Linked DNA regions of Drosophila melanogaster. The protein of the gene in region 1 interacts with the protein of each later gene in a biochemical or structural test. Each region holds a gene or a part of one and is shown in the gene's direction. Other genes may lie near its edges.

What was found.
Region 2: the proteins of sina (region 1) and ttk form a complex in vitro, tested with the Drosophila melanogaster proteins (one study listed by BioGRID).
Region 3: the proteins of sina (region 1) and ebi form a complex in vitro, tested with the Drosophila melanogaster proteins (2 studies listed by BioGRID).
Region 4: the proteins of sina (region 1) and phyl form a complex in vitro, tested with the Drosophila melanogaster proteins (3 studies listed by BioGRID, with this or other methods).

What each region holds. Positions count from the first base shown.
Region 1 is NT_037436.4:16,851,542-16,860,131, forward strand, and holds sina (seven in absentia), read left to right. Parts: upstream 1-2,209; 5' UTR 2,210-2,984; intron 2,985-4,377; exon of another isoform or gene 4,378-4,443; intron 4,444-4,755; 5' UTR 4,756-4,876; coding exon 4,877-5,821; 3' UTR 5,822-7,171; downstream 7,172-8,590. Other genes in the region: Zcchc7 (zinc finger CCHC-type containing 7), read left to right, coding at 1-675; Rh4 (rhodopsin 4), read right to left, coding at 1,151-1,698; sinah (sina homologue), read left to right, coding at 7,717-8,590. UniProt on the Drosophila melanogaster protein: E3 ubiquitin-protein ligase that is required for specification of R7 photoreceptor cell fate in the eye by mediating the ubiquitination and subsequent proteasomal degradation of Tramtrack (ttk).
Region 2 is NT_033777.3:31,711,042-31,717,186, forward strand, and holds the start of ttk (tramtrack), read left to right. Parts: upstream 1-2,825; 5' UTR 2,826-3,228; intron 3,229-6,145. UniProt on the Drosophila melanogaster protein: Binds to a number of sites in the transcriptional regulatory region of ftz. Isoform beta is required to repress inappropriate segmentation gene transcription and repress genes incompatible with development of photoreceptor cell fates.
Region 3 is NT_033779.5:412,742-419,526, forward strand, and holds ebi (ebi), read left to right. Parts: upstream 1-2,325; 5' UTR 2,326-2,647; coding exon 2,648-2,705; intron 2,706-2,770; coding exon 2,771-3,969; intron 3,970-4,047; coding exon 4,048-4,893; 3' UTR 4,894-5,795; downstream 5,796-6,785. Other genes in the region: AP-2alpha (adaptor protein complex 2, alpha subunit), read right to left, coding at 1-83; CG13690 (uncharacterized protein), read right to left, coding at 5,816-6,785.
Region 4 is NT_033778.4:14,426,360-14,434,838, reverse strand, and holds phyl (phyllopod), read left to right. Parts: upstream 1-2,501; 5' UTR 2,502-2,745; coding exon 2,746-2,931; intron 2,932-6,094; coding exon 6,095-7,111; 3' UTR 7,112-7,503; downstream 7,504-8,479. UniProt on the Drosophila melanogaster protein: Essential adapter component of E3 ubiquitin ligase complexes; involved in R7 photoreceptor cell differentiation, embryonic nervous system, external sensory organ development and specification of particular muscles.

The sequences.
Region 1 (8,590 bases):
ACGCAGAGTCAGCCGCAATCGCCTAGTAAGGGGCCACCATCGCCAACGCCTCTCCCACCAGTTCGGCAGGACATGGCTCCACCACCACCTCCTAAAATGTCAAAGAAGAAGCAACGTCAAGCCCTGGATCAGCAAACACAAAATCAACAACGGCAGCAGCAACAGCAACAGCAACGTCTGCAGCAGCAACATCAAAACCAACAGCAACGCTTGCAGCAGCAGCAAAAGCAACAGCAGCAAAGTCTACAACAGCAACACCAGCAACAACGTGTGCAACAGCAACGTATGCAACAACAGCAGCAGCATCAGCAGCAAGACAACAACCAATATCAGCAGAATCTACGACGTCCACAGATCGACCAGATGCCCTACAATAATCTCCAGCAACGATCACGATCCGATCTTCAGCTGCGCCATACTCTCAATCCGGAGTGTGACCGTCTGTTGAGTGAAATGGATCACAATCAACCTGGCAGCATCAACAAGGACGCCAACAAACCGTCCATGTTCTGGTCACGCGAATCGCTAAAGTACCTCGATGATCTTTTCAAGATGACCTCCAACACAGAGACCGTAGAGCGGCTGAAACGAGTGCTACAGCGATCGCAGCGTGGTCTGCTGTCGCACAACGATTACCGAGCGGTCATTCGACTGCATTCCCTGATGTGCAACTGAGGATTAGCCAGGGTCATGGAATTTATTTCCTGGTGGGTCACCTTCATTTTGTTTAACAAATGCCAACAGATTTCACAATGGGTATCTTAAAGATATTACCCAAAAACCGAATAAATACATAACTGACTATTTTGAAAAAAAAACTCGATTTTATGATTTTATTAGGAATGAAGAGGCTCCAAATAACTGTGTAAATGTGTTTAGGATTTGAGTTGAATTTGTTATTTAATTTTTAAGTGTAAGTGTAGAAATAGTAACAAAATAATGACATCAAAGAACCGAATTTCAAATAAAAAACGGGACTCATTTTCTACTTCGTTTGCAATAAGTTACTATTTATTTATTTCAAACTCAAGAATGTCACACTACAAATTATAAAATTAATGTTATACAGTTTCGTTGTCGGCATTTTATACTTTTTCCTTGGCTTTCATGTTACATGGTCAGTTGTCTTAGAGTAGAGTTGTCCTTGGTTCTATGCAGCGGTAGTCTGTTGCTGCTCCTGGGTGGTCGTGGACTGCGCCGAAGAGATCTCCCCAGACTTTTCGTTGACTCCCAGCCAGGGACAGCGCTTCTGCAGCTCCAAGCGGTATCTGGGGTGACTTATGGCATAGACGAATGGGTCTATGCACGCCACCAGTTTGCAGGTGCAGGCCGGGATCATCGTGGCTCCTGGTGTAAGCAGACTCTTATCCCCGAATGCCCCGATCAGCGACATTACGCCGTAGGGCGTCCACGACACGAAGAACAGGAAGCAGATGGTGATAGCCGCCTTCGCAATCCGTATCTCCGCCGTCTCCTTGCTCTTGTCCACATTGGAGCGCAGCGACTCCACGTTCATTTTCTTGGCCTGCTCCCGTAGGGCCTTTTCGTGGCTGAAGACATGGCCCACGATCTGCGAGTAGTAGTAAAGGATCATCAGCGTGGGACACACGAAGCTGAAAAAGAAGATGGTGCCCACAAACAACCGGGTGTCAAAGTTGTCCGAAAGATAGTCGAAGGAGCAGGACGTGAGGTAGCCCTCTGGAAATGCATAAAAGTGAAGAAGATTAATGGGATTTTTGGTATTAGGATATTTATTTACTTCATATTCGTAAAACGCAATTTTACTCTTTCGTAAATTTGTTTCTTCGAATTTCCCGATCCAAACTAAGTTCTTAAACATTCCCGCCAATGATGTGACACAAGGTCAAGGTATCACCAATCAATATTTTTATTTAATTTTTTGTATTGCCTATATTATTTGATTGGAAATACTATAAATCATAAAAAAGTATTTATTAATGAATTATTTTAAAAATTAGGCTTTAGTTGTCAATAAGAGTAACAGACTACATTATTAACTTTGATCCTTTAAAAATTATGCGCCTGATTCGATTTGTATTATTTCAAAACTGATGTTTTCCTGTTATTAAATTAATTTGACAAACGTGGCAAGGCTGTTAAGTAATCGATGACAGCAATTGATAGCTACCAGGAGGCACTGCGATGTTGCCGATTGCGTGTAATCGACTATCTGGAATCGAATAGACGACAATTGGGGTTCCATCTCTGCAACCGACGCGGACATTAGAAGAAACTCAGTATAGTAAAGTAAATTAATTAATTAACCAGCTAAAGGCAGACATCACGCCCAAAGTACATGGAGAATGCCGAAAAAGACTGAATTCCACACCGCGCAAGGGCAAGTGCAATAAACGCCGACTGCGACGATCAAAGAACGCAATATAGAAAAAGTGAGACACACGAAAAAAACCCATTTCGCTGCCTGTGTGTAAATGCAAATGGTTTATTTTTGTGCAGCAACAACAACAACACAACATCAGCAGCAGCAGCAACACAGAGGCAGAAAAGGCGAAAATAACTAGTAAAGCTAAATATGAATAAATGTGTATGTGTGCGGGTCGCGTTAAAGAAAATTAGATAAAAAGCCAAATGAAATTAGCTCACGCCTGAATTTCGAGTTTCGGTTCGGTGCAAGGTGAACGAAAAGGCGAAAAGCAATCAAAACAGTTTTTCCATTTTCCCAGTGTGCGTGTGCAGTAGCAAAACCACCTGCATTGGTTATATATATATATGCGGTTAAAAAAATAACAAATTGCAACGTAAAAAACGGAACTTGCACCTAGGATATATACACACACATGCTGGCTGTATGCGTGTGTGTGTGTGCATGGCCGTAAAGGCTGACTGACTGATAAAAAAGGAAACAAAAAAATAACAAGAAAATAAAATATACACATACACACACACACCAACGCAGCGGGGCACCAATACCTCGGCACAATTTCTTGGAGGCAGCCTGCCATGTAAGTTTACATATCAACGATTATGTATTTCGCAGTTGTTGTTGCTGTTTAAACAGCAGCCTAGTCGCACTTAATGGCGGCATAAATTAAAGAAAGATAGTCGCATTTCGCTTTGCTCCGCAACTTACGTTTTCTATTTTACCATTTTGCAACTCATGAAAGCAGAAGCTAAGTTAATTATATTCATGGCTATGACTTTTGTGGCAATTACCATTTTTACCCCGTATGAACGTTTCCAACGGTACGCAACGTAAACGAACTGTTAATTATGTGTGTGCGATCTGTGTCTGTGTTGTAAGTGTGTGAGTTTCCCTCCCCGCGGCTGCCATCCCCTACCGCCACCCACCCCCTACACATCCTCGTTGCATTTGTTACGTTACGCACTCTTCATTACGATATTACGTTTATGCGGGCGATGGTACGAATTTCATAATGGCAAATGTTCAAATAATTTTTCCAATATATAGGGTAAAGTATTAAACATTTGTATGTTCATGCGTTTCATGTGTTTTTGTTTTGGGTTAATAAGGAAACATATTATTTATTTTTTAGGTTTGAGTTTGTTTTCGAATATAAACAATATTACTGAACTCCTTTCACACAAAATTTTGATAGCAATCATATAGCAAATATATTCCCGTTAGGAAAGAGAACAAGTTTTGTTTGTACATCAAAGCTAAACAATTACGAAAACTTTATATTATTATATTGATATTTATCTTATAAACGCACCAAAGCACCCACAGCATATTGTTCACACTAATGTGTGCCCATTCTGTCCAAAGTGGACAAACCCGTGAAACCGAACCACACCCATTACAACCAGCACGACACCCACCATCGCACAATCCCGCCATGGGTCGACGTCCCTAATGGCCGTCCATCAGCGTCGGCTCCGTCAGCTCCGCCTGATAAGAGCCAACATATTTGCGCCGTTCCACACGTGCCGCCAAGAGGCTTTTGGGCTTGGGCTCGGAGTTGGAATCGGAATCGGGCCTTCATTTCGATCGGAGACGTGACGGCGACCTCGGGCTGTGTCTTTGCTTTTCGCAGACCAACTCCGGTTCGATACGTTCCGCTTTAAGTAATTGCTTAAATGCAATTCCCATACACGCAAATGCGTGTGTTTTCTTTTTTCGGTAATTACAACAATTGGGAATCCACGGCAAGGTTAAGGCCAGGAATGATAAATCGCTTTGGCTTTTCTATTGGGCGGCACGAAAAACGAACTACCTAGTAGTAGTGATTACGCGAAATAAGTTTTAAATTAATAAGGCTCAAATTAAATTATTACAAATGGATAGTAGTTTTGCTGGGCAACATTTTTTATAGCAATCGAGTAGATTTTGCTTACACAGTTTGCATTCATTTCATTTCTATTACTTCATGGAAAAATATTTTTGCCTATTACTCATGTCCCAGTGGGCACAATAGTTTGGAATGAACATTCAAATCAATAGTATGCTCCGAACTTAAGCCGCAAAATCGATAGAAAGCTCATAACATATGTTCAAATTTAAACCAGCATTTATGCAGTGTGTTATACTGTGATTTTTTTTGTTGGTTGATATATGTTATTTTTGGATTAACTAAGCCTAATCGAAACAAACTATTTTTGTTAAGATATCTGTATGGTTTTGTAGGTTATTGTTTTTTGGAGTTTCTTATCACTGAACGAACAAAATTACAAAAAAAAGAAAAAAAAATTATACATATGCTATGACTAAATTGACCGCATTACTCACTGACCTGTGATTGTATCTCATTTTAGACAGAAGCACAAGAAAGCCATTGCCGAAGCCACCGGGAGGGCGAAGAACCTGAACCTGGCGAGAATTGCAGGGACCCAGAAGAATTGTAGACACATTCGTGCCGTTGCGAGAACCCTTCCAATGTCCAATAAAATCAACCCGAAGCGCCGCGAACCGACAGCAGCAGCAGCAGGAGCCGGTGCCACGGGAGTGGCCACCAACACGAGCACCTCGACCGGATCCTCCAGTGCCGGCAACACGTCCTCGGCCAACACATCCTCGTCGTCCAGCTCCTCGCTGTCGTCCGCCGGTGGCGGTGATGCGGGCATGTCCGCCGACTTGACCTCGCTGTTTGAATGCCCCGTGTGCTTTGACTATGTGCTACCGCCGATCCTGCAGTGCTCCAGCGGGCACCTGGTGTGCGTGTCCTGTCGCTCCAAGCTCACCTGCTGCCCCACCTGCCGCGGTCCGCTGGCGAATATCCGCAACCTGGCGATGGAGAAGGTTGCCTCGAACGTCAAGTTCCCGTGCAAGCACTCCGGCTACGGATGCACCGCCTCGCTGGTTTACACGGAAAAGACAGAACACGAGGAGACGTGCGAGTGCCGGCCCTACCTGTGTCCGTGCCCGGGCGCCAGCTGTAAGTGGCAGGGCCCGCTTGACCTAGTCATGCAGCATCTGATGATGTCGCACAAGAGCATCACAACGCTGCAGGGCGAGGACATCGTGTTCCTGGCCACCGACATCAACCTGCCCGGCGCCGTCGATTGGGTAATGATGCAGTCCTGCTTCGGCCACCATTTTATGCTCGTGCTGGAGAAGCAGGAGAAGTACGACGGACACCAGCAGTTCTTTGCCATCGTTCAGCTGATCGGGTCGCGCAAGGAAGCGGAGAACTTTGTCTATCGCCTGGAGTTGAACGGAAACCGACGCCGGCTCACCTGGGAGGCAATGCCGCGTTCGATCCACGAGGGCGTCGCTTCCGCAATTCACAACTCGGACTGCCTGGTGTTCGACACGTCGATTGCGCAATTGTTCGCCGACAATGGCAACCTGGGCATTAACGTGACCATATCTCTGGTCTAAACGCACTGTCAATTCGTCGGGTTCTTTCATTTCTTGTGTTTACTATTCCGATACAAATACATATATAGTTTATAGCCCTCTGTTCGCATCAGGCGTCTAACTCGTGGACAGATTGTGAGTCTGGAGATTAAGAAGAAAGAGTTTTGCAGAGTTGTTTTATAAAAATGATTCTCTATTCTAAGAGCCACTTACATGCATATGTATATATATCTATGGAAATATCAGGCTGCTTCGATTATCACATTCGGCACGATATCGCAGTTTTCTTTGATTTTTAAGCTAAGACACTCACAATTTTCCAAAGCGAAATGGAAAGCGTATTAAAGCAATTGCTAAGTGATGTTCAGTGTTTATTGCACACGTTCGTTAAACCTGTAAAACCGCGTTTAAAATTCGTATTTTCATTTTTAGTTTGCACATGACTGTGTGTAAATCTCACTCGTTTGCAGAAAAATGCCAAATATTTTTGGTGAGATTTCGCAGATTTGTATAACACACTTTCCTGTCGAATGCGAAAATCGTGGCTGACCTGTATGTTTGTATGTTTAATCGGTTCGATTGGTACTCTAGTTCTAGGACATGATTTTTCAGTTACCGCACACACAATACTATATATTTCAAAGTTTCAGTGTTACCCGTTTTGTTAGTTCATGGGGTTCTGCTTTAGTTTAATTTAGTTCGTAAGGTCCACACACCTGGAGCAGAGCTGCCTGCGCGTGCCCACGTGCCCACCACCTACTACAGTGAACGCTAGGAACACACAGACCCACTCACCAAAACGAGGAGAACAGCAAGAAAGGCGAGGAGGTCACTCATCCACTCGAACATGTACTGCAAAGTCTAGTTTAGTTAATGTAAATTATTTTATACAATACTTGTAAATGGTAATAAGTAAAACGAACAGTTTAACGAAATTAACAAACCTAATAACCCACAAAGAAAAGTAATATTTGATAGCGATAATCTGTAATAACTCGAGAGTTGTTTGAAAGTTGCAGCCTAAACGAAACTGCGACCCGCAATTTTGTTCATGCCAAACCATCACAAAATAACAAAAACACACTAAAAAAAAAAGAAAACATTTTTTTTCGCAATGCTAAAAAGACAGTTGCCCCTTCCCATTTCCCCCCAAGTCCCCCCAAACATATAAAGCAATGTTAATGTTTAAATTTCTATCTAGTTAAGACGATCTCCCCGGTTTGGCTCATGTTTTGGTTTTGATTTCCATTCGGCCAACGTTTCCCAATCGAAAACGGAAGAAAAATTAATGATTTTAAGCATCTGCACCGTAATTAGCTTTTAATGCGCCGATTTACCGCGCCACTACCATATGAGATCACTCACACAGACACAAAACTACAAAACTGAAATAAACATGATTAGTAAAAGTAAACAATGCTCGTTAATTATTGAAATTAATCTGGGGGAAGCTGAATTACAAAGAAGAGCTACGCCACTTTATAAACTTGTCGATTTAAATCAGTTATCTGTTTAATTTGGATTATCTTTGAGATACTTGGGTTACTTCTAATGCGTTTTAAAACGTTGCAATAATAGATGGCACAAGTTTTTAGTGGTGCACCGCCGAAGCATCTTAAAGATTTAGCTGGATTGGTATCTTACTAGGATACTTAGGCCAATTTCAAAAATAAATTTTTAAGCTGATTTTAAAATGATTTAAAGCAAGTAGGCTCCGAAGTAAAAGTAGCTCATTATACTTTTAGCTTCGTTGTATTGTGGTACAGATTGTATTTTCGAATTCTTTTAAGCAAAATTTCAGTGTTCAGAAAAAGTAAAAAAAAAGTAAAACCATCGGCACTCTCATTCTTCAGAATCGTTTGGTTGTTAGGTCTTAGGATTAATAGCTTGCGCATTGATTGTTGGCTGAAGCACAGATGTCTGTTCGCAACTCACGCCCCCAGTTATCGTGGCCGGAGCGGGTAAGTCCGCAAAGGACTATTGACACTCCAACGGCATCCGGAGAAATGTTGACTCGTCGTCAATCGGCACCAGCGTTGGTCGTGCCGCCGGAGGAGACCACGCACGTTGTGGTGGTCAAGCGGCAATCCCCGGACGCAGCCGCTGCCGGAGAACTGGTGCCGTCTAGGCGGAAGGACTCGGTGGCTGTGCAGTCGGGAATTGTGGCCACTGGGCCATTGGACACAACACGCAGTGGTGCAAGAGACGATTTTCTAATGGCTTTGCTCGAGTGCCCGGTGTGCTTTGGCTACATAATGCCGCCAATTATGCAGTGCCCGCGTGGCCACCTCATCTGCTCCACCTGCCGCTCAAAGTTGACCATTTGCCCCGTCTGCCGGGTGTTCATGACCAACATCCGCAGCCTGGCAATGGAGAAGGTGGCCTCCAAGCTGATCTTTCCCTGCAAGCATTCGCATTTCGGCTGCAGAGCGCGGCTCTCTTACGCAGAGAAGACCAAGCACGAGGAGGATTGCGAATGCCGTCCGTACTTCTGCCCGTATCCGGATGACAAGTGCTCCTGGCAGGGACCGTTGAGGGACGTATACCAGCACCTGATGAGCTCCCACGAGAACGTGATCACCATGGAGGGCAACGACATCATCTTTTTGGCCACCAATGTGAATCTGGAGGGTGCCCTCGACTGGACAATGGTGCAGTCCTGCCATGGGCGGCACTTCCTCCTCTCGCTGGAGAAGATCAATTTGGGAGAGGACTGTCAGCAGTACTTCACCGCCTGTCGGATGATCGGCTCCATGAAGGATGCCGCCGAGTTCGTGTATAACATCTCCT
Region 2 (6,145 bases), on another chromosome or scaffold:
GGAGGAAAAGGTTTCCTTTATTACTCTGGAAATTTCCCTGGGGAGACTGGCGAGGAATTCAGGTCAAGCGGGCTTAGGAATTTCTGTGGCGAATCTTGAGAGAATCCCTGGCCGGGTAATCTGAAAATATATATGTACACCAATACGACACTAAACAGGCGAGAAAGGCAGTGCTTAATTATTCAAATGTTATGCGCAATTTAACTCTTTGTTGTTGTGGCTTATGTTTTTGTTTTGTCGGTATTATTCAACTGCCATTCGATTTCGTTTCGTGGCGACTCCTTGATGGGCAAGTTGGCCAAGTGGGAAACCAGTTTTAGAATCGGCCAAAACCCAAATAGCAGCCACCATCATCATCGTATTAGAGAATCCCACGCAGAACGCGTTTCACTCACTCAGCTTTTAGCTAACGAAGCGCACGACTTTGGTCTAATAAAAGCAAAACACACACGTCCATGGAGACGCACACAGGGGAAGAGGAAAACCCCCACGCACAGGCATCTCTGAAGGTTGGAAAGCCCAGAGTATACACAGGGCGAAACTCTAAGAACTAACCCCATTCCAGCAGATACCATGAAAACCACATAGCTACACATGTATAAGCCGCCAAATATTCAAAGGTAATTTAACATTTCCTCTAATAATGCAATACTTTTTACCGTGCTCAATGGCGAAATAAAGACTCGCCCTCGCCTTGTGGAGAGTTTTTAATTAAAAGCAAATTTCATCTCAAATAATGCCGCTAAGCCAGCAACAACAATTAAGCAATTAATTTATTTCAGCTGTGTGGCACTTTGAATAGCGGGAAAAAATCCAAGCCGAGTAGTAAATGGCCCGGCAGGCGGCCAGATCGGATCAAACCTGTTGAATCGCGGTCCCAGAACAGAACAGTTCTGGGCAGTTCCCCTTCGAGAGAGAGTGCTTAGCCAAGCGGGTATACCAGATACTCGTCCCGTCCACTGACCGTATTTCACGAGGCAATGCAAATTGTCTGGCTACAGAGCGGGGTTAAAAGGGGTGGGCCCTAGGCAACCGAGGGATGCATTTGGATCGCCCTGCTGAATCACTTCAGCGGTGATTCATGCCGAGAATAAACGTAATTGTCTGTGGGCTCCATCGAAATTAGTTTCCAAGCTAATGTAAGCTTGCGAAACAATAAAATGGTGTGCAAGGAAAGATCAATGGAGGGTATGGCGGGTTATGCAAGCCAATTTTTCACCAGTCGTATAACTTGCTCAAAGCTATCCCCATACTACACGCTTTCATAACAGAGGGTCCACATATGTAGATATGTTTAAAACCAAACCTAACTAACCGATTGTACTTAAAGAAAGCGATTAAGGCTTCCATTATCAGCGTATAAAGAGAGAGATAACGGCCTTCCTAGACATGTCTTATCTGTCGCCCAAGTCTGGTCCCTCAATCCTTTTCCACTATCAGCGGTGCCAAAGTCAAAGAACTCCCATATCTATGCCAGATATATAATCTTAGATGCGGGGAACTGTTGCCGTTTCCCAAGAACACGCATTGATTGACGGTCTTTCCCATGCATGCCTAATGATCCTTCAAATGGGCCCTAATAACGACCAGCCCCCCTTGGGATCGGATCAGGTAACGCCCCGTCCCGGGGGTTACCCAAAAAGCGACACGCTCCCAAGACCCATCAGGCAGTTGACCAGTGGGTTACGTGTGCCATCGTGCACAGCAAAACTAGTGTATAAAGTTTATATTATCTAAGGTAGCGATATTTTCTAAAACGTAAAGAAACAATTACGTTGCAAACAATTCTCTCAGTGCAGGGCAACCCCAGCAACAATTATTCAACTTAAAGTCGGTGCAGCGGGGAAAACATGGAATCATTTCGGTTTCAGTTAGAAGTGTGCGCGAGCGTTCTCGAAAGGGGCGCTGGGGGGCGGGGCAGTCGGTGGGAGGTTGAGCGAATAAGAGAGTCGAGCATACGAGGCACGCTTTTCCGATCAAACCAGTTTGTCGTAATAGCTGGCATTTGGAATTAGTTACTGCCGATATATTGCTGCACTTGGAATGCGCCCAGATAGAAATTCCCGCACCACGCCCCTCGGCGACGATCCTCCCCTTTGAATAGAGAGTTGACTATTTTTAGCGGGCACCAGAACTTCATTAAAATACAATCAATTTGCAAGTGCAGCGCGGAGAAAATAACAAACAAGCACCAGCCACCCACTCTCTCTTTCTCCTCTCTCTCCCCCCCCCCCTCTCTCACACTCTTCCATACTCCGGTGTTCCCAAAGAGAGCGGAGAGATGGCATTTATGCTGAGCAGGCACAAGCAGAGAGGTGAAGATGGGACTGAAGAAGAAGCAGCCGCTGTGTCGGCAGAATGAAAACGAGGACGACCAAACTGCATTGTTGTCATATTTCGTAATACGCTGATGCAGCAGAGAAGCGAAGGGGTGGTGGGCGCAGAGGTGGAGCAGCAGGTCACGGCGGTGAGAGAGAGCGAGAGCGCAGGAGACTTGTTTTCAACACCAGCTTATCAGCGGGAGAGCGCGAGAAGAAAGAGCATAAGGGCAGAGCGCCAACGCAGCGGCGAAATGGAAATGTCAAGTTGGGACTGCGCTCTCCCTCGCTCTCGCTGCCAGCAGCGGCTGCGCTGTTCTCTTAACCATTTGGAGCCCCATTCAAATGTTCGATTCTTGCCATTCCATTTCGTCCGCTCATCCGTCCACATCCACTTGCGTTTTTGGTGCCCTGCGAGCGGGAGAGCAATGTGAAACGGGAGCACTACAAATACCGCCCACTACCACTACCAATTCCCATACTCCCATATTCCATGCTATTCCCAGCTCAGTTCGTGCCGTGTGATCAAAGCTTTCGGTAAGGCTTCGGCTCGGCTTTGTGTATCCACCTTAGCGGCTCTCTGTGGTGCTCGTTCTGCCTCTCTCTCTCTCTCGGTTTTGGGGCTCAGCTCAGGGACAACAAATGCGGTAAAATGGCTTCTGCGTCGACGTCGACATCCCTGCCGTTTCAGTTCTGATTGGAGGTTCGTGCGCGGCGTTTCCTCAGCTGATTTCTTTGCCTTTTGCCTTTTCGCAACCCGCTTTCGGCTCCGTGTTCGCCTCGGTTGCCAATTACGTGTAACCAACAACAAGAGAAGAAACAGAAACAACAACAAGTACTTTCGAGTGTTGCAAGCCTTCTTCCGCCGAAGAAACCGCAAAACGGATTACCAAGAATATTTGTAAAATTGGTAAGTGGTGAGATTATCCACGAAATAGTCTTCGAAAAAGGTCAAATCATCAAGTGTTCAAATTTAAACGACAAGTTTAAGTATTCTTATTACCTTCTTAAGACTTATCTTGAATCTCAGATGAGGATTTTATTGATTAAGATTCAAAAGTTCTTTAACTGGCTTTTGTTTCTGGAGTCCGTAGTGATTTTTTTAAAGATTTGAATGTTCACTGAATTATATTTTTGGATTAGAATCTAATCACTTTAAACAGGACATCGCAGGAGTCGAAAACAATTGATGACAAAATCAGCAGTTAATAGCTTTTGGATTACAGAATTATAGCAATAAAAGCCTGACAAATTGGCCAAGGGTCGTTTTGGAAATCTAGCAGTCTTAAAAGCCTAGCAGATACATTTTCTTCTAACAATTTCCCGCTCACACGCTCAGTACATGCACCAACACACGCCTATTGGAAAGACGCTTTTGTATCCAACTTATACAGATAGTGGTACAGCCACAGATACAAATGCACACATGCCGTATACGGCACATGGGGAGTAATGCCGCCACACTAGATACCAGATACTAGATACATAGATTCGTCCGCCGCTTATTTGTCGGTCGTGCTTCAGTGATCTCTGTCATTTGCAGTTGCCCATTTCCTTTTTTATCCCCCACTTCCACATCCAGTCGTCATTCGCCCGGCGCACCCCTTTTGATCACTCTTCCAGTTCCAGTGCCTTCTGGTGGCTTCCAGTGGCTGCAACACTTGCGGTGTTTTTCTGAATGAACCAATGGAGTGAATGTGTGAATGAGTAATCCATGTACGCAACATGTTTGCACTGCACAAATTATTTGGACTCAATGTATTGATTGTGTAACTCGGCTTTACGTTTATTTAATCGCAATAACTAAAGTGAGCTACAACTCTATACGTTGGTTACTATTCTTGGGAGGAAGGAAACCTGACAACCCTGGCCAAGGGGCAACTCTACACTTGCACCTGTGCTCCACGCTAAGCCACAAATTCAATTATGCAAATCAAGATCACAGCCCAAAAAACACAATCTTCGTCTCCGATCTGCATTTGTCTTTGTATGTTATGTTTATTTGTTACTTCTGTCGTTGTTTTTAATTCGCTAACCCACTTCACACAGTGGCAGCAACAACAAAAATCGTGAATTATACTTTGTATTGGGGCGAAAAGGAAACGAATGCCCAGTCTCAGATCACACATAAATTTTGCGGTTGTTTTGTTAATGAAACGACAAGAGCAGCACTATGCGCTCTTTACTATATATTTCCCGCTCTCCGCGAAAGCTTTTCTGTTTGTTTGCCCCACACACACAAAGACACTTGTGAACACCTTGCGCTCACTTAACATTATGCTCGAATTATAACTGTTGTTTAGCCGGCGATCGAAACGGTTAAAGCAGCAATGAAAGAGGGAAAAGAGAAAGAGGATGACATGACTAACAACGCAAACGCGATCTGAACATATGCATTGTTGTTTTCGCTCGTAGAAACCCATAAAAAGTCGAAACAGTAAAAGTCCAAGCGGCGTATACGCAATATCAGCGGGGGATAGGAAAAGGCAGAACTCTCTTATCTATTCTTCTCTCACTCTCCCTTAAGTACACAGGGCAAGAAATGTTAAAACATTTTTAACAAATAATGATTGAAATAATACAGGAAATTTTTCCGGTGCATTGGTTTAGTGCACGTGACTCTTTCACAAATTCTACTTAAATGTATCTGCCATCTTGCGCCGATTTCCTGCCCCTTTTTCGTATTCAACAATTATTCGGAACCAAATTTGCACAATACATTCCTTGATTATTGTTATTTAAAATGATTTTATATTTATTTATTTCATTCGCAAGTGCCAGCTGCCATGCTAAATAAATGTCTGTTGTGCGCGGTTTCCCCGTGTATATTCATGTGGTATACCTTTTCATCCACACGATACTCCTTTTCATATTCTGGGGCTTGTGGCATTACAAGTAAATGAAATTTTTCTTGAATGCATTTCTGATTTGAATCACCTTCGCGGAGAACGCCAGGTATTTCGCTTTCGGGGTTCTGCTGCCCCGATTGCCCATCCTGATAGCATACAAGTCGCGCGTGTACCCCATATATCTCCTTTTTTAATTAGCAATCTGCACAAAAACTCCGACTACTGCAAAAACCTAAATTCAAAAGTGGAACACAAACAAAAAACGCTCAAAAGTCAGCAAAAAAATGAGGAATCAACGAAAAATACAAGAAACAGAAAAGGTCAGTGACCAAAATATGTTTTGTAACTCAGGCAGAAATCTTCGCGAAAAGAGAATGGGCCGAAAAAAGCTAAGCAAAAGACGGAAACCAGAAGGCAGCAGTGGTAACCCTCCAGATATAGTTACAGTTGCCCAAAGATCATAAATTTTTACTTACATGGATATCAAAGATTCATAATAAATTTAAAGAACAATTACCAAATAAAACCTAATGTTATTTCTTAAGGATTTCTAGTAATTTCCGGACCCCAAACACGTAGTTAGGCTTATTTCACAATTTCCGCCTGCTGGCTGAAATTAAATATTTTTTTTACCGTTTTAAGCCTTTTGCAGGCCTTACAAGCATACATACGCATGCACTATAATTCAATTAACGACGTCGACGCCGCTGCCGGCGCAGCTCAATGTCCGCGTCAAGTATACGCCCTGTGGTGCCTGAAAAACTGAAGAACTCAAAAATCACTCACCCACACAATCGGCGGTGGATGTGTTCATCTGCCAGCCGTTTCCTATTTTGCATTCTTCAACGAATGGCAGCCACAAAAGCGAATTTCAAAAAGGAGAGCGGATGGCCAGGCATTTGACTTAAGGCTGCGAACTTATAGTACGCCGCTGTGTTTGTGCGGGAAAAGGCAACATCAGCGAAAAGAAATAAACAC
Region 3 (6,785 bases), on another chromosome or scaffold:
TCGTCTGCGGAAGCTTCGCTTTCCTTTCCACCCCGCGATTGATCGATCGGAGAGACGACTTCACACCCTTCAGCTCTCTCCATGTCGCGGATTTTCTCCGATTCACATAGGCGTCAATTAGTACCAGTCACCGATCCGCAGCGGAACCTCTGCTCTCCTATATGTTGTCCACAAACCAGAAACTAGTAACCGAGCATACAGCAAACAACGAGCTGTGATAATAATACCATACAGTGAAGCGTCGGACTCTTGCGCACACACATATGCACGCTTCGAAGTACTACAGTAAGTCATCAAACTATCAAAATTGTAAGTATTTATTAATACTGAGAGGCAACCGATTCACATTGATATAACTATTTGCTGTGTTGTACCCATATATATAACTATATATATAACTTTCTCATATCTTTCTAATGTAACGACTACGAAAACATTTACATAGGAATGGAGAAGAAAAGTAGCCAATATTTTGTAATTCATCTGGCAGAGAGCTTACTGTTCCTGCGTTTTTGTACCGCCCCACGTTTTTGTCAGTGCGCTGCTCCTGGTAATTGATCAAGTAATGGCGCTGATTCCGCCCCTATGGAAAATCTCTTGTTGCGACCCGCTCAATTGGATTTAATGCTGGTTACCCAAGAGATCTGCACTTACAGTTCCTTATATCCGATATAAAGACGGCCAGGCCTCTCATGCCATCCCCCCGCACCGGCGCCATGGTAGTTAGCTTGTTAATTTTCGCTGGTTTTATGCAAACTGGGGGCGCAAGAAAATCGTCAATGGATGGCGGCCGAGTCTCGAGGCGTTCTTATCGCTCGAACTCGACGTCGGACCCTAAGATATATAGTTGCTCTCCGCTCTGGTTCTGCAAAGCTCTTTTTACTTCGATTGGATCTCGGCCGTTCCTTGGGACCTGAAAGGGGAAACGATACTCTATTTATTGTGGGTTGTGGGAATGGGAAAACTTAGTATTATGATTACGTTTTAGTATTTGTGTTAACAAACGTATATTATTCAAACAAAAGGTATTTTGGATAACAATTTGTATTTAGCCAGGGAGTAGCTTATTGTGCATGCCAACACATTGATACAGCTTCTATTTTGAAAGTCCGTATTGCAGTTTTACTTTTGATAACGAAAACGCCACAAAATATGTATGCACCACACATTTCACTGAGCATCAAGCGCTGATAACGATTTATATGTATAAAAAATCCAATGTTTAATAAACTCAGAACTTTTAAACGGTAAATAGTGGACTACGTGATTGATTTTCCGGCCAGTGCACCCAATGGCTGGCGAACTTTGACATTTTCTGGTGGAAGTAGAGTGTACCCCCGCATTTTTGGCAACCGATTTATTTTCAACTTGGCAGCGTTTTGCCCGTTGATAAAGATTCTGTGACCTCGCTCGCCCACTTTTTATCGCCTGGCGAAGTCGATGTGCACTTGGGCATTATTATTTGGATTTGCGCGACCACCGGCTTTTGTTTCTGTAGTATACTTTTTACTTTGCTTTCCGTTTCGTTTTATTTTCTGTTTTTCACTGCGCTCTTCGGTTCTCTTCTTTCTTTGCTTTCATGTCACGTCACTTTTTTCACCGCTGGATGACGAGGGCGTTTTGCCCAAAAAAAAAAGCACCGAAGAAGCCTCCAAAAACATTAATGGGCGTATGTTAGCTGTTCTTTTTTTTTGAGCTTACTTTTCCGATTTTTTTTACTCGCCAGCGGACAAAATCGGTTAGCGTTGCGGAATTTCTGTGGCGGAGCAGAGAGAGTAATCTCTGACTTCTGAAGTTGGCTTCGCTTGGAATCGGAATCCGGGGTGTTGGCTGCGGAATGTTTGACCCTGCGTGTTGCACTTTATGGAACTCCAACTCGCTGGAGCTTCGCCTCGCTGATTTGCCGCTAATTTGTTTGTTAACTATTACCAAGTGCAGGGCAATTCACTAAAATGAAAATTTCTATTGATTTTTCTTCGCTCTCGCTGCCTAAGAGTGGAGCCATCTAGCGGGCGCGGGTGGAACGATTGGTGTGACCAGTAGAGCGTTGGGTTGAAATACAATGATTACTTCGAGGGATGGGTACACAGGGATGGACGAAGAGAGACGACAATTCGCTTTAAGAATTTTTTACCTTTTGCTCCAAGCAGAAATCCAAAAATATCTTCTTAATTGTTTTTATGGCTAATAAATTTCCGTTCTATCCTTTAAGGTAACGCTTGGTGCAATACAAAAATATGACTCAAATTTGATTAAGTTGTTGTCAAAACTTGTGACGTCACAAAACACAAGGCTGCGCAACCTCTCGCAGCGCACACCTTGAGATTACTCCGCCATTTTTTTGCGCGTTTCAGAAACGCGTTTTCGATCCCTCGGTTTTATTTGTGGAAAAAATATGTGAAGTGCTCTTGCGGCAAGCAGCAAACTGGCAGAATTGAAAACACAGGACCGACCAGATCGATCCAAGTACCAGGAGTAGCACCGGATACCGTGGCTTGCGCCGAAGTGATAAGCGTGCCGAATGCAGACGCATGTGTTACGCAGCACAGTTCCGATTTTCGCACCGTAAAAACATAATTGGCATTGGAGATAGGAGTGGATTTTGGAGTGCGCTAGTAGTAGGAGAAGGAGCCAACCGCGTTCCGTCATGAGTTTTTCCAGCGACGAGGTGAACTTTCTGGTTTACCGATACCTGCAGGAGTCGGGTGAGTAAAACCCTCCAATCGCAAGATAACAGCCCGCCCTAATCTCATGCAATCCCGTTTTCTAGGCTTTCTGCACTCGGCCTACGTGTTTGGCATTGAGTCACACATCTCGCAAAGTAATATCAATGGCGCATTGGTTCCACCTGCCGCTTTGCTCACCATCCTGCAGAAGGGTCTTCTGTACACTGAAGTGGAGTGGAGCGTAGGCGAAGACGGCGAGGTGGCGCGACCCATTGAAGGACTCTCTCTAATAGACGCTGTCATGCCGGAGGTGAAGCCACTCAAGCCCATTGTGAAAACAGAGCCGGGAAAACCCGGGGCAGTCGACTCTTCTGCCCCTGCCGGTGGCAACCAGAACAACAATGCCAAGCCTGAGATAAAAATAGAACCGGGTACCGGAGTGGCGGGCTCAGCAGGTGGAAACAAAATTGCTGGCAGCACCACGGGCACAAGCACACCAACCGATCAGTCGGCAAGCGAGGTAGACTCCAGTGGAAATGCGGCAAATAATGCTGGCGGCACATACGCCGGAAACAATGGAGCTGGAGGGAACCAGGCCAGTACTGGAGGATCTAATAGCACAAGCACACCAGCTGGTGGAGATTTGGCAGCACCTGGGGCAAGTCAAAAGAAATCCCAGAACTCGAATGAAGCGGGAAGCTCATCTAGTGGCAATGCAGGCAATGCAAATGCTACCAGTACCGATGATGCAGCCTCCTCAACATCCACAAATGGCAATAGCAGCACTTCCAGCAGCGTAGAACAACCTACAAGCGGGCTGACGCCCGCTGGTGGAACTGTATCAACCTCCAATCCGGACGCAGCAGCATCGGGCGGAGCTTCGACTGCAACAGGATCAAAGGCGCCAAGTGGAGCGGTTACGATTCGCGTAGGAGCCCAAGGAAACAACGTGCAGTCTGGTTCGTCCAATGCTCAAAGCTCTGCTCCCAGTGGAACCATCTCCTCGTCTACCAGCGGAGGTGCTGGGACTCCCGCAGCTCTTGTTCCCATGGACATTGACGAGAACATCGAAATACCCGAATCCAAGGCTCGTGTATTACGCGGCCACGAAAGCGAGGTGTTTATCTGCGCATGGAATCCTAGCCGGGATTTACTGGCAAGCGGTTCGGGAGACAGCACTGCTAGGATATGGGACATGTCCGATGCAAACACTAACTCCAACCAGTTGGTGCTGCGCCACTGCATCCAGAAAGGCGGCGCTGAGGTGCCTAGCAACAAGGACGTCACCTCTCTGGACTGGAATGTAAGTCGAAGATCTTGGCACTTAAGCCTTGCAAAGTTTGATTTCTGATCCTTACTTAATCTATTCTCGTTTTTGCAGTGCGATGGTTCCTTGCTCGCCACCGGCAGCTACGATGGTTACGCCCGAATTTGGAAAACCGACGGTCGACTTGCTTCTACTTTGGGACAACACAAGGGTCCGATCTTTGCTCTGAAGTGGAACAAGTGCGGCAACTACATCCTCTCGGCTGGCGTGGACAAGACGACGATCATCTGGGACGCATCCACGGGCCAATGCACCCAGCAATTTGCCTTTCACAGTGCTCCAGCCTTGGATGTGGACTGGCAGACAAACCAGGCCTTTGCCTCTTGCAGTACGGATCAGCGGATACATGTGTGCCGGTTGGGTGTAAATGAACCCATCAAGACCTTTAAAGGACACACAAACGAGGTGAATGCAATCAAGTGGTGTCCGCAGGGCCAACTGCTGGCGTCCTGCTCTGATGACATGACCCTCAAGATCTGGAGCATGAACCGAGATCGTTGCTGCCACGATCTGCAGGCTCACTCAAAGGAGATCTATACGATAAAATGGTCGCCCACGGGGCCGGGAACCAATAATCCAAACACAAACCTGATCCTCGCATCCGCTTCGTTCGATTCCACGGTAAGACTGTGGGACGTGGAGAGGGGCAGCTGTATCCACACGCTCACCAAGCACACAGAGCCAGTCTATTCGGTGGCCTTCAGTCCGGATGGAAAGCATTTGGCCTCCGGCAGCTTCGACAAGTGCGTACACATTTGGAGCACGCAAACGGGACAGCTAGTGCACAGTTACAAGGGCACGGGCGGAATCTTTGAGGTGTGCTGGAACTCCAAGGGCACTAAGGTGGGTGCCAGTGCCTCCGACGGTAGCGTTTTCGTGTTGGACCTGCGAAAGTTCTGATTGCCGGAGCAGCCACAACTGGATTTCGTGTATTGAGCCAACGCTTAAAATAGTCAAGATTCCTTTTCCAGCTCATTATTTGGTAAAAATGAAATCGGTAGTTTTTCACTTTCTTACGGAACGAGAAGTTTTTACTTTTGATTCAAAAATTGCATTTAACTATATTTTTTAAAGAAGTGAAATATGATCAGTTACAATTCTACCAACATAAGTCGATTTGGATCTGGAGTCCGGACCTTAGGTAACTCCTTTCTTAGCTATCCCGCCCTGCAATCGTATTTGTAATTGCTTTAAATTCTAATTAGTTCTTTAAGGTATACCTCTTGAGATGAGATCCTCCCGCTTTTGTCCACGTCTATTTCGTACGCTTAGTTTCGAGTCACAAAATATCGATATGCACCTGGGATTTTTGGGGGCTTCAACATGGTTGTTGTTCTCTTCAGATCAGCGGGATGCGACTCGCCTCATTTTAATCTTAATCATAAGCTCCATGTTTCTAAGGTCGTCCCTTTTTATACGAAAATCGTTTAGTATAACTTTGCATTTTGTTATTGTATCGATCAAAGATGCCAGCCAACTCCCCGCCCTCCCCACCAAAAGTCCTTTACCCAATTCCACAGTTGTCCTCCAAAAAAGGGATGCCAAGAGATCAGATCAGACCGATTCACGCATACATTCAGAACAGTGTAACTGCAGTCCCACGTAGTCAGTAATCGAACGTAATTATTAAGAACACGAGATTGGCGGAAACACAAGAACATCAGCAAAAATACATTAAAGATAAAAATTAATCTGTTTTCGTTTTGGGCCTGGGTGTTTTTTGTATTTTAGCATTTTAAAATTTAATACTAAAGTACTTAAATTAAACTTTATTCTTTGTAAATATAGATACTCCTGAACTTAATTTTATTTTCATTTGTTGCTAAAACTCCATGACACTTTCCAGATGGCGTTGCTTAAAGAAGCGGCACTCCTCGCGAATTATTTCGCCGGATTTTGTTGTGCCCTTAAAGAACTTTGTGAGCTTGGTGCCGGCGTACTTGGGCTTCTCGGAATCCGGCTCGTCGAACTCCATGTCATAGGCCTTGTCCGCCAGTGCGTTTTCCGCGGTGGACCAACTGAAGCGCACAAGTCGTGGAAATCCAAACACTAGATCGATGTACTCGGTCAGAAATCTTCTTGTGACCGGATCTCCCGGATATCCACTGCCGAACTCGTTGTCCTTAATGACCAAGCCCTCGGGGAAGCTCCACACCTTGAGGGCATGATCACGGGTAACTTTGGCGCATATACTAGCAGCAGAGACTATTGGATAGGTGGAGTCAGCTTTTTTCGCCACGGTGATTTTAAAGCTGGGGAAACGTTTGAGCAACTTCTCCTGGTACTTCTCCGGCGGACCCACCGTATCCACATAAACCTCGGCTATATTGACGCCCGCATCGATCGCCTGTTGGATAAGGCCCATGGCCGAGTCCATGGAAACTTCGTTCAGGGAGCACTTCGACCGCCGGTACATGCTGGTGCTGATCGTGTTCGGCGATATGATCTCCACGGCCCAGCCAACGCAACTGGTCGCATATTCCTTGGTGTTGATATCGTTAAATATGATATCACGTTTCCCCTCGGTTAGTTGTTTGGAATCGGCGCATCCCAGGTCCTCTAAAGCCTTGTTACTTTCCAGTGGACAGTAGGAGATCCCATATACCATAGGTCCCAGGACGGGACCACGCCCTGCTTCGTCCACGCCCAGCATGCACGGCTTATCCTTGCAAATATCCGGAACATCGCTGAGGTAAACCGTGTTGCGGCTATTCTCCTTGCCGGCTATAAATGGACCCAGGGCCTTCAAGGAGCTTATTTTTCCGCTGTCCTTAAAATCTACATCATCGGGC
Region 4 (8,479 bases), on another chromosome or scaffold:
TCCCAAGCGGATTATTTGTTGGCAAATTGTGAGTGCACTCACCACTGGAGTGGTGTTTTTACATATTTTTTTCATTTTTTTTTTACATTACATTTTAAGAACTTGGAAGCATATAAAGGTATATTATTGCACATAGTACAGAAATAGTAAGACAGCTGAACGAATTATATATTTTGATGAAGATGAATTAGTAATACTATTGTATTGGATATAACATTAAAATATATTTAATCGCTTACAACGATATATCTTTTACATATTTCAATATTTATTGGATATTCAGGATTCTAAATAATAGATCTTGTGGATGGTTTTCGCTGAATGCGAACAAAAGAAATTCAATTACTGACCAAAATTATGCTAGACCGATTGAATTCATTTTTCGCCGCCGCAATTCGCCTTGCTTTGAATGTTAGGCGCCACCTACAGTAATTTCTTGAAAACTGTTTGGTAGCGACTGGCGCTGTGACTCCATAGATGTCGCTGGTGTGACACTTAAAGGCAACGGTATGTTTAAAATAAATATATTTCCTCTTAAAGTCAAATTGCATAAGAGATTAAAAAAATTTGATGTACAATTAATAAACAAACAATGGCGTAATAATTGTTTTTAGACGGTACCCTTTAGTTTTGCGTAGTGTAGTTTAGCTTTAATAGTGTTTAATTGCGTAGTCAAAGTCGAAGTAAAATAAATAAGAGCAGTGATTTAAAAATGGGAATACAAAAAACCGAATTTTTTCAAATGCACCAAAACCATTTGTTTAAACATATTGATAGGATCACAATAGAGATCTTGATAATAAATATTTAAATGCTTAACCATAAATCTCCAAAAAAAACTTCGTTATCCCATTCTTATCCTCGATATCTCATCCTGGCACCTTGGGCACTTCCTCTCTTGGGATCCCAGAGATCTACATGAAAATTTGATACGCATATGTCGCGGAAATCGATCGATCGAGGGTCCAGTTCCGGATACATTATTCGTTCGCCACGCAACTCCCTCGCCTGATTCCATTCATGTATTCATTCATCAGAGGCCTCGATTGCGCTTGGAACCTCCGTGCCCCATACTTACTCCTTACTCCCTACTGCCTACTCCTTACTCCCTGCTCCTTACTCCATTGTTTACTATCGTCGAAGATGCGTAGTAAAAGTAGCGGCGAGCAGCGCCAGTTAACCCAGTGTCTGCGATCTGAGAAGATCGTCGCAAATCGGAGGAGCGGACGAAGAAGGTTCGGACGAAAGAAAAAAGGAGAAGAAACATCTGTCGCCACGAAGAAATCCGGTTGCAAGCTGCAACACCACCGGCTCAAAATGAGCAACAACACAGAGAACATATGATTGAACTGCCCGAATGCCGCATAAAAATGGGTAAAAAACGAAAAATCGAAACGCACCTTTTGTGTTTTTGTTTTTTTTTTTTTTGTTTTTGGAGCAGCTGCCGTTGCTGTCGGTGCTTCGTCGCCGTTGCGGAGGATCGACGGGTTTGGGGGGAGCACCAGACTCTGCACTCGGCAGCCTGTTGATGAGCCCACAATGCGCACATGCTGCAAGCTATTCGTGCCGCGGATGATATGGGCTCTGTGTTGAGCCGGCGGGTCCTCCATAATGATAAGTGCCCGTCGAGGAGGCCGTCCACATTAAATTCGGCGTTTGTCGCTCAATGGCAGCTGCCACCGATTCCTTCGGCGGCTTAAGCAAATCCAAAGGACTGGACGCGAGGGACGAGCTTGAGTGTCGAAAGTTCAGATAGGTCAAGTTGTCAAAATATTCGGAGACAGTTGTCGGTGCTTTTCGATTCATTCATAAAATTTGCGAGGCTCTGATCGCTGAATGAATTTGGCAATTCGCCTTGCAAGGCAATAAAATTATAAAATAAGGTTTATCAGCAGGTTAAGAATCATTAACATTGTTATTCCTTATTTTTTATAAATATTTATTTGGCATAAAAGTATATCAGTCATCAGAATTTTATTCGTGGTTAAATTGTCAAACTTCTGCTGCATATTTCCACTGGCACTGCCTTTTGTTATCCGTTTCCTGTTTCAGAATTCGCACTAGTCATCCTAGCAGTCAACATCCCTTTTGGCGCCCTTAAATGTGAACATATGCCGCCTGTTTGTTTTGTTTCGGCTATGTCACCCTTATGGTTGCTTTTTCTCTCACTGCAATATTGGGTTATATGGTACATGTTTTCATTTTTCAAAAACACCAGGCTTAATCTGAGCCCAAAAAATTGCATTTGAGTATAAAAATTATACAAAAATAAATAAATATTTTTAAATTTTGTTTTATATTTGAAAATATATATATGATTTGAAAATATGATATATTTTGCATGACTTTTATTTCATTAGTGTCTAGCTTATCCTTTATCTCTTATTTTTCCCATCGATCCGACAACGCTCGCCACTCTCGCATGTCATTTGCCAGATGTGGCAGCCCGCAGGCACAAATTTTGAAAGTGGTGCCCAGAATGCGATGAGGACAAGCAAGGCTCATTCGAAATTTGTGCGTGCAACGCGAAGGACGTGCCGCTCCGTAGCTCGCTGTCCCGCTCTCGCTCTCCCCGCTCTCTCGCTCTGTCGCACGCGTTCGCCGCTTGGCATTTGTTGTTTGCCACATTTTCGCGGCACCCCAAAAAATCGTGAAAATACAAATACAATACGAGTGCGAAAGTCGAATATCGGCAGAAGTTAGTGCGACCTTTGGTGACGTCAGAGGCTGGGAAAAATCGCCAGGATGTCTACCAATCAGCAGCAGCAGGCGAATCCTTCGGCGGCCGTTGCCGCACCCGCCGCCTCCTCGGAATACCTGAAACGCACCTGCCTCATCTGCGGCTGCCACACCAACCAGACGATCAATATCTACGAGCCCCGCTCCGGACCCAATATCGTTCAGCTAATCCAGGCGAAATTCAAGTTTCAGGTATGGATTTTTCCCAACTTAGAGCAAAAAAAATAAAAACTCAGTTAGGCGGGGAACGTATAAAAATCGATATTGGGGCAACTCGGCGGATGAGTCATGCAACGAAGGAACGTCCTTCGGACAAAGTTTTCCCTCTGCGCGTGTATCCGTGTGTGTTTTTTTTTTTGGGTTAAAAGGGGATGAACTTCGCTGGGCGGAAAATGGGAAAATGGGTGGCACTTCTATAGGCAGGTACAGGTAACTCCCTCACAGCAGCCCACTGGGAAAAAAAGAGTGGCAAGCTATTTGATGATTGATTTCGAGCGCAGTTTTCTAATATTTTTAAGTGATTATTTGCAAAGAACTAAGGTCTCGGAATTAGTAGTTCTATCACAAACTACTTTCTTAATGAAAATTTCAAAATCCTTTATCCCTATTAGTTTTGTGGTATGCCCACCTTTTCCTGTGCCCTTTAAACTGCATATCCTGTCGCCGAGCAGATGATGCATTTCCCCGACAACCTTTGGTAATTGGACACTTTGCATATGTGCCAGTGCCACAGAGCCGCCACTTAGTTCGATTCCTTTCCCATAATTTTTAACAGCTTGTTCTAATATGCGAGCAGTGCGGTGTGTGTGTGTGTGGGAAATGCGACAGCGGAAGATGGCCAGGGAAATCGATCCTGGCTGAAGATCCTGGGCTTGTTTTTCTGTGGAAGTGAGTTTCGGGTCTCGGATTACAGGCACTCCTCCTCACTCAAATGACTACCCATGACTACCTGTACCGGCGGCGCACACATAAACCTGCTCGAAAGGGCAGATGTGCTGTGGATTTGCCGAGATTGCTCCAATTTCTGCGGGCAGTGAACGAACCCGGTGTGTTCGTTCTCTTCGTTTCCATATCCCAAAACGACAGCTGTATTTGCCGGTCGGCACTCAAAATCCAACCCATCGGGGTTTCTGGATCCTCTGCTGCTGCTGCTGCTGCTTCTTTATCAGCTCTTCATGGTCTCGAGTGAGTTTTTTCGCATATCAACTATTGAACTCGGATACCTGGATGCGAGTTCACAGTTTATTGTTTGTGAGACGAAGGGATTTTCCCCAGCAGCATTGGTGGTTGAACCCTTGGAGAATGCCAAATATCTTTGGATAGAAATTCCGGTTTCTTAAGCTGCGCAAATCCAAACAAAGGATCTACCCTTGGAATAGCGTTTACAAAGGTGATTTCAAATGCCCGAATTTTCAGCCGAAGTCCCAGAAGTGCCAAGCTAGACAAGATTTCCATTTAGAGGTCTTCGTTTAGTTTGGTATTTTTGGGAAATAGTTTTTACTAAGGTTTCCGTTCAATTGGATTACAAAGTCAGAATGAGAGTTCTTAAAACGAAGTCCTATAAAAACATAAACAATATTAAGTGGTTGCTAACATAGGTTGTTAAAATATTGGGTAGATATTGGTAGATTGTATTTCCACATATTTTCGGAATATATGTTTCGGTCTTAGATTAATTGAAGCATTGTGCTTAACTAGTATTGTGTGTATAGCAATCAATTTAATTACGAAATGCTCGAGACGCACGCAATGCGATTTCATAATAACAAAAACCCTCAGCTAACCCCGCAATATCAGACACTAGAAGCTCACCCTCTATGCACATAGAATATATATATATTCACCCCCTCCGGACGTCGTTAGAATTTCGTTTGAACCGTTTTTGCGAAACCCTATACGGTGGGCATACACCACCTGCCGTGATCGTAGCCTGGCAACCGATCTCCCCCACAGGAACAACACCCTCGCCGGGTTCTCTATAAGCTCGAGTTCTGAATGACAGTGCCATAAAGTCCAGTTGCAATTACCTTATCAGACTGCGCCCCCCCACCTCCCACTCTTATGCACTTAGAAAAAAGGAACATTACAAATTGAGTAAATATGCAGCTATATTAACAGAAGCACGAAGAGTTGTTTTCAAACTAATAGAAGTACTTTTAAACATATTTTTCATGTGCCCATATTTAACTGATCTTAGGAGTGCACACCTTTTTCTCGCAGTGCATCTGCGATCGGCGTGCGTGCGTGTGCGTGTGTGTGTGTGTGTTTGTGTGGCTTTCTGTCTGCTTTGCACCTGGCCTGCAATTTGCATTATTATACCGTTTACACATGGCCCTTGGAGCACACCTTTTCAGCGCCGAACCCAAAGGTAAACAGCCAGCCACAATCGCTCCTGATCCTTTCTACCCTGCACACCTCCTCCTCCTCTATCGCCATCCTGGTCGATCCTTTCGGTTCCCCGACCCTCGTACCGATCACCTTTATCTAATTTCTCGGCGCAGCTGTCGCGCATGCGCGTGCCTAATGGTCGTCATAGTTGGGGTTTTAACCCAGTTCCCGCTTCGGTTCCACTTCGGCATTATGTGTTTTTTTTTTTTATATATATGGATAGGGCGCGTGGCTCTTGGCCGAAAACGAGTTTCCTTCGAGGCTCGAACTAAGTAGCGAATGTCCCTTTGGCTTGTTACTGGTTACTGGTTTTCCGTACCTTTTGGGCCAGCTGCTACCGCTGGGCGCTTAGTTTTTGCTGGCAGGTGCACGAAATTATTGATACCCGAGGAATGCTGAGGTCTGGCTGGGTAATTAATATGCCCGGGTCGTCTGGCAGTTGTTTTTCGGAATTGTTATGGTCTTTTTTTTTTTTTTGCACCTCTGGCTGGATGCTCATTAGTGGTAGTGGTGGTGGTAGTGGTCGGGTGTCGCGAGCGATCACTAAGTGCATAGGCGTATCGTAATTTTCTAGAGGTTTATTCTGTGGGTTATGCCTGGCTTCAGATTGCGAGTCACGCAATCGGATTTGGGTCAATTTTCATTCTAAGGTTGGTTCCTGATGACCTTAACGGTTTCATGGCTATAATCAATAAATGATTGGCCTTCGTGGCTCTGCAAGTTACAATGTAACCGCCTTCGGTTCTTTCTAATGGCTTTTTATCCTTTACTTGGAATGCTACATATCAGTCTAAGGCAGTAAGCAATTTATAAAATGGGTTATTACTCAGCCATTAAATTAATTGAAGGACCAAATGAGTTTGAATAGTTATGATTAGTATATTATGATTAGCAATAACTTTATAGTCTAGATAAAACTACTTCTACTACCCGTACTCATCTATTCCCTATATATCTCTACTTTCAGCCCCTGAACGAGGACAAATTCCTCTGCTTTAGCTGCAACAACTGGCTGATCAACTGGCACTCCCTGCAGGCGGTCAACAGCAATGAGGCCGAAAGCCAGAGCCAAAGTCCCTCGCACATGGGCAACAGTGTGCTGCAGCAGGAAAGGACGAAGCTCCGTCCGGTGGCGATGGTTCGACCCACGGTGCGAGTGCAGCCCCAATCGCAGCCCCAACTGCAGCCCCAAGTTCCAATTAATCCCACACCCGCACCCATAGTCTATTCGAAGCGAAGAGCCAGCAGACGCAGTGCCTCCGTCAGCCGGATGAGCCGAGTGCTGCGCCAGTGTTGTGTGGAGAGTCTGCGGCGGAGTCCCAAGAAGCGCAATCAGCAGTCGGTGTTCGTCTGTCTTAGGCCGCAGGGCCAGAAGAGGAGCAATGCGATCTGCAAGGTGGAGTGTGTGGCGCCGCGCCGGAAACCAGTGGAGCGACTGGTTAAGGATGTGGCAGCTACAGCTACACCCACACCAGTGCTCAATACACAATCCACGCCCACTTACCAAAGATTCCCGCAGCCCAGTGTGGATGGCAAAGTAGTGGCCATGTTCCGTCGACTGGGAACCACACTCAGTCGGGAAGAACCCGCCGCATATTCAGCAGAATCAAACCCCGCCTGCTCGAAACTCCCGCAGATCATGAGTCCGCTCAAAGAGGCGCCGCGCTGGACGCGGGACCTCGATGATGATGAGATACTGCTGGAATTCGATACCGCCATATCCGAAGTCCTGCCAACTGCCCGCTATCAGGTTACCCACGAGGAGAACAAGGAAAACCAGCAGGCACAAGAAATGGAGCTGGAGCTGGAGGAGGAGGAAGAAGTGGATGGCCGAGCGGAACTGGAAGTGGTGCAGGAGGCGGAAGCGCCACTGGAACCGCAGAGCCACCACAAACAAGGAAACAGCCACCAAAATTCCCACCAAGCTTCAATCCAACTCGCTGGCCTGCGATTACCAATGGGCCTTAGCATTAGCCTCGTCTAAAAACGATGGGTCCAATTGATGCCCCGCACACAAAATAGTCAAATTGCATGCACAATACGCAAATTATGAGCATTAGCAAATGTCTAAGTTAATAGTACCTCGATTACATTTTAATTGTTAGTCAAATACCTTAATTAATTAGCGGACAAAAAAAAACACACACACACAAAACAAACAACAAAAGACCTAAGAATGTTAAGTTAACGGATGTGGAAAGCTATATTTAAAATATACATATTAGTCGTAGGCAAATCCCTGACTTACCCAAAAAAAAAAACAAAAAAGAGAATCCCCTCGAGCCAATGTAGTTGAATTTGTTTGTTTGCTCCAAAAGACAAAAGTATTTCAAAATAACATGCGAAATAAAAATAGCACAAAAGCAATCAGTATATAAATGAATGTTTTTATATTTAAATGTACGGGTGGTATGAATTTTCTATTTATTCCGAGGAATAAGGAGTGATCTTTATGAAAACCAAATTAATTTTACATTTCCCGCCAAATGTTACTCATCCAATTAAATTTTTACGTTGAAAAGTATGCACTTTTTCTCGTTACTAAATTGGGGCTGCCAACTTGTTTTCTTCACGGCGCCAAAAAGTATGCTCTAATTTTTCTGTCTTGTGGCGCCAAAATCAAAATGTAGAACTGCAGAAAATTTTCCTACAGAAAATATTTCTCTTCAATATTTAACATAAAATATGAAGTACGAGAAATTAAATTGTTAATTGTTAAATTAACTAAAATTACTATGTTTTACTTAAAAATTTTCTGCAATATATTTGCTAATAAGTTAACTAATAGAAAAGCTAAGAAAATTCATCACATTAGAAATCCATTTTAAGATATTCCAGAACCAACGAACGACATGCTCTTAAATACATACATATATCATTAGTTTTCGCCTTGCGTGCGAAAGTCCGATGTGTAATTGTTGATTTCTGATGCTCTAGCGTATTTATTTGATTTAGGCAATTGCGTAGTGAGAACGAACGTGTGGAGGTCAGCATCGTCGTTGTTGTTGTTGTTTATGCAACTGAGACAGCGGTGCGTATACTTATTTTGGCTTACAATATGGCATTTCATCAATACACGAACTGATGACTGAGTGGCTGGCTGGCTGGCTGGCTGGCTGGCTGGCAATTGTGGTTTCGCCGACATGACTGGCAACGTTAATAATGTGGTGCGGAAATTTCTACGCGCACTTCAAGTACGCCTTATTGAGACGGCGACTAAGGTTACTTTTATTTATAAATAAAATTCATCGTGCCTTCTGAACTTGAAGATGACTTGCCGCCACGTCGAAGGAGACGGAGAGAGCGTGCAGTTTCCGGAAATCGCGTATACGCCCGATGGCCGTGCGAAGAG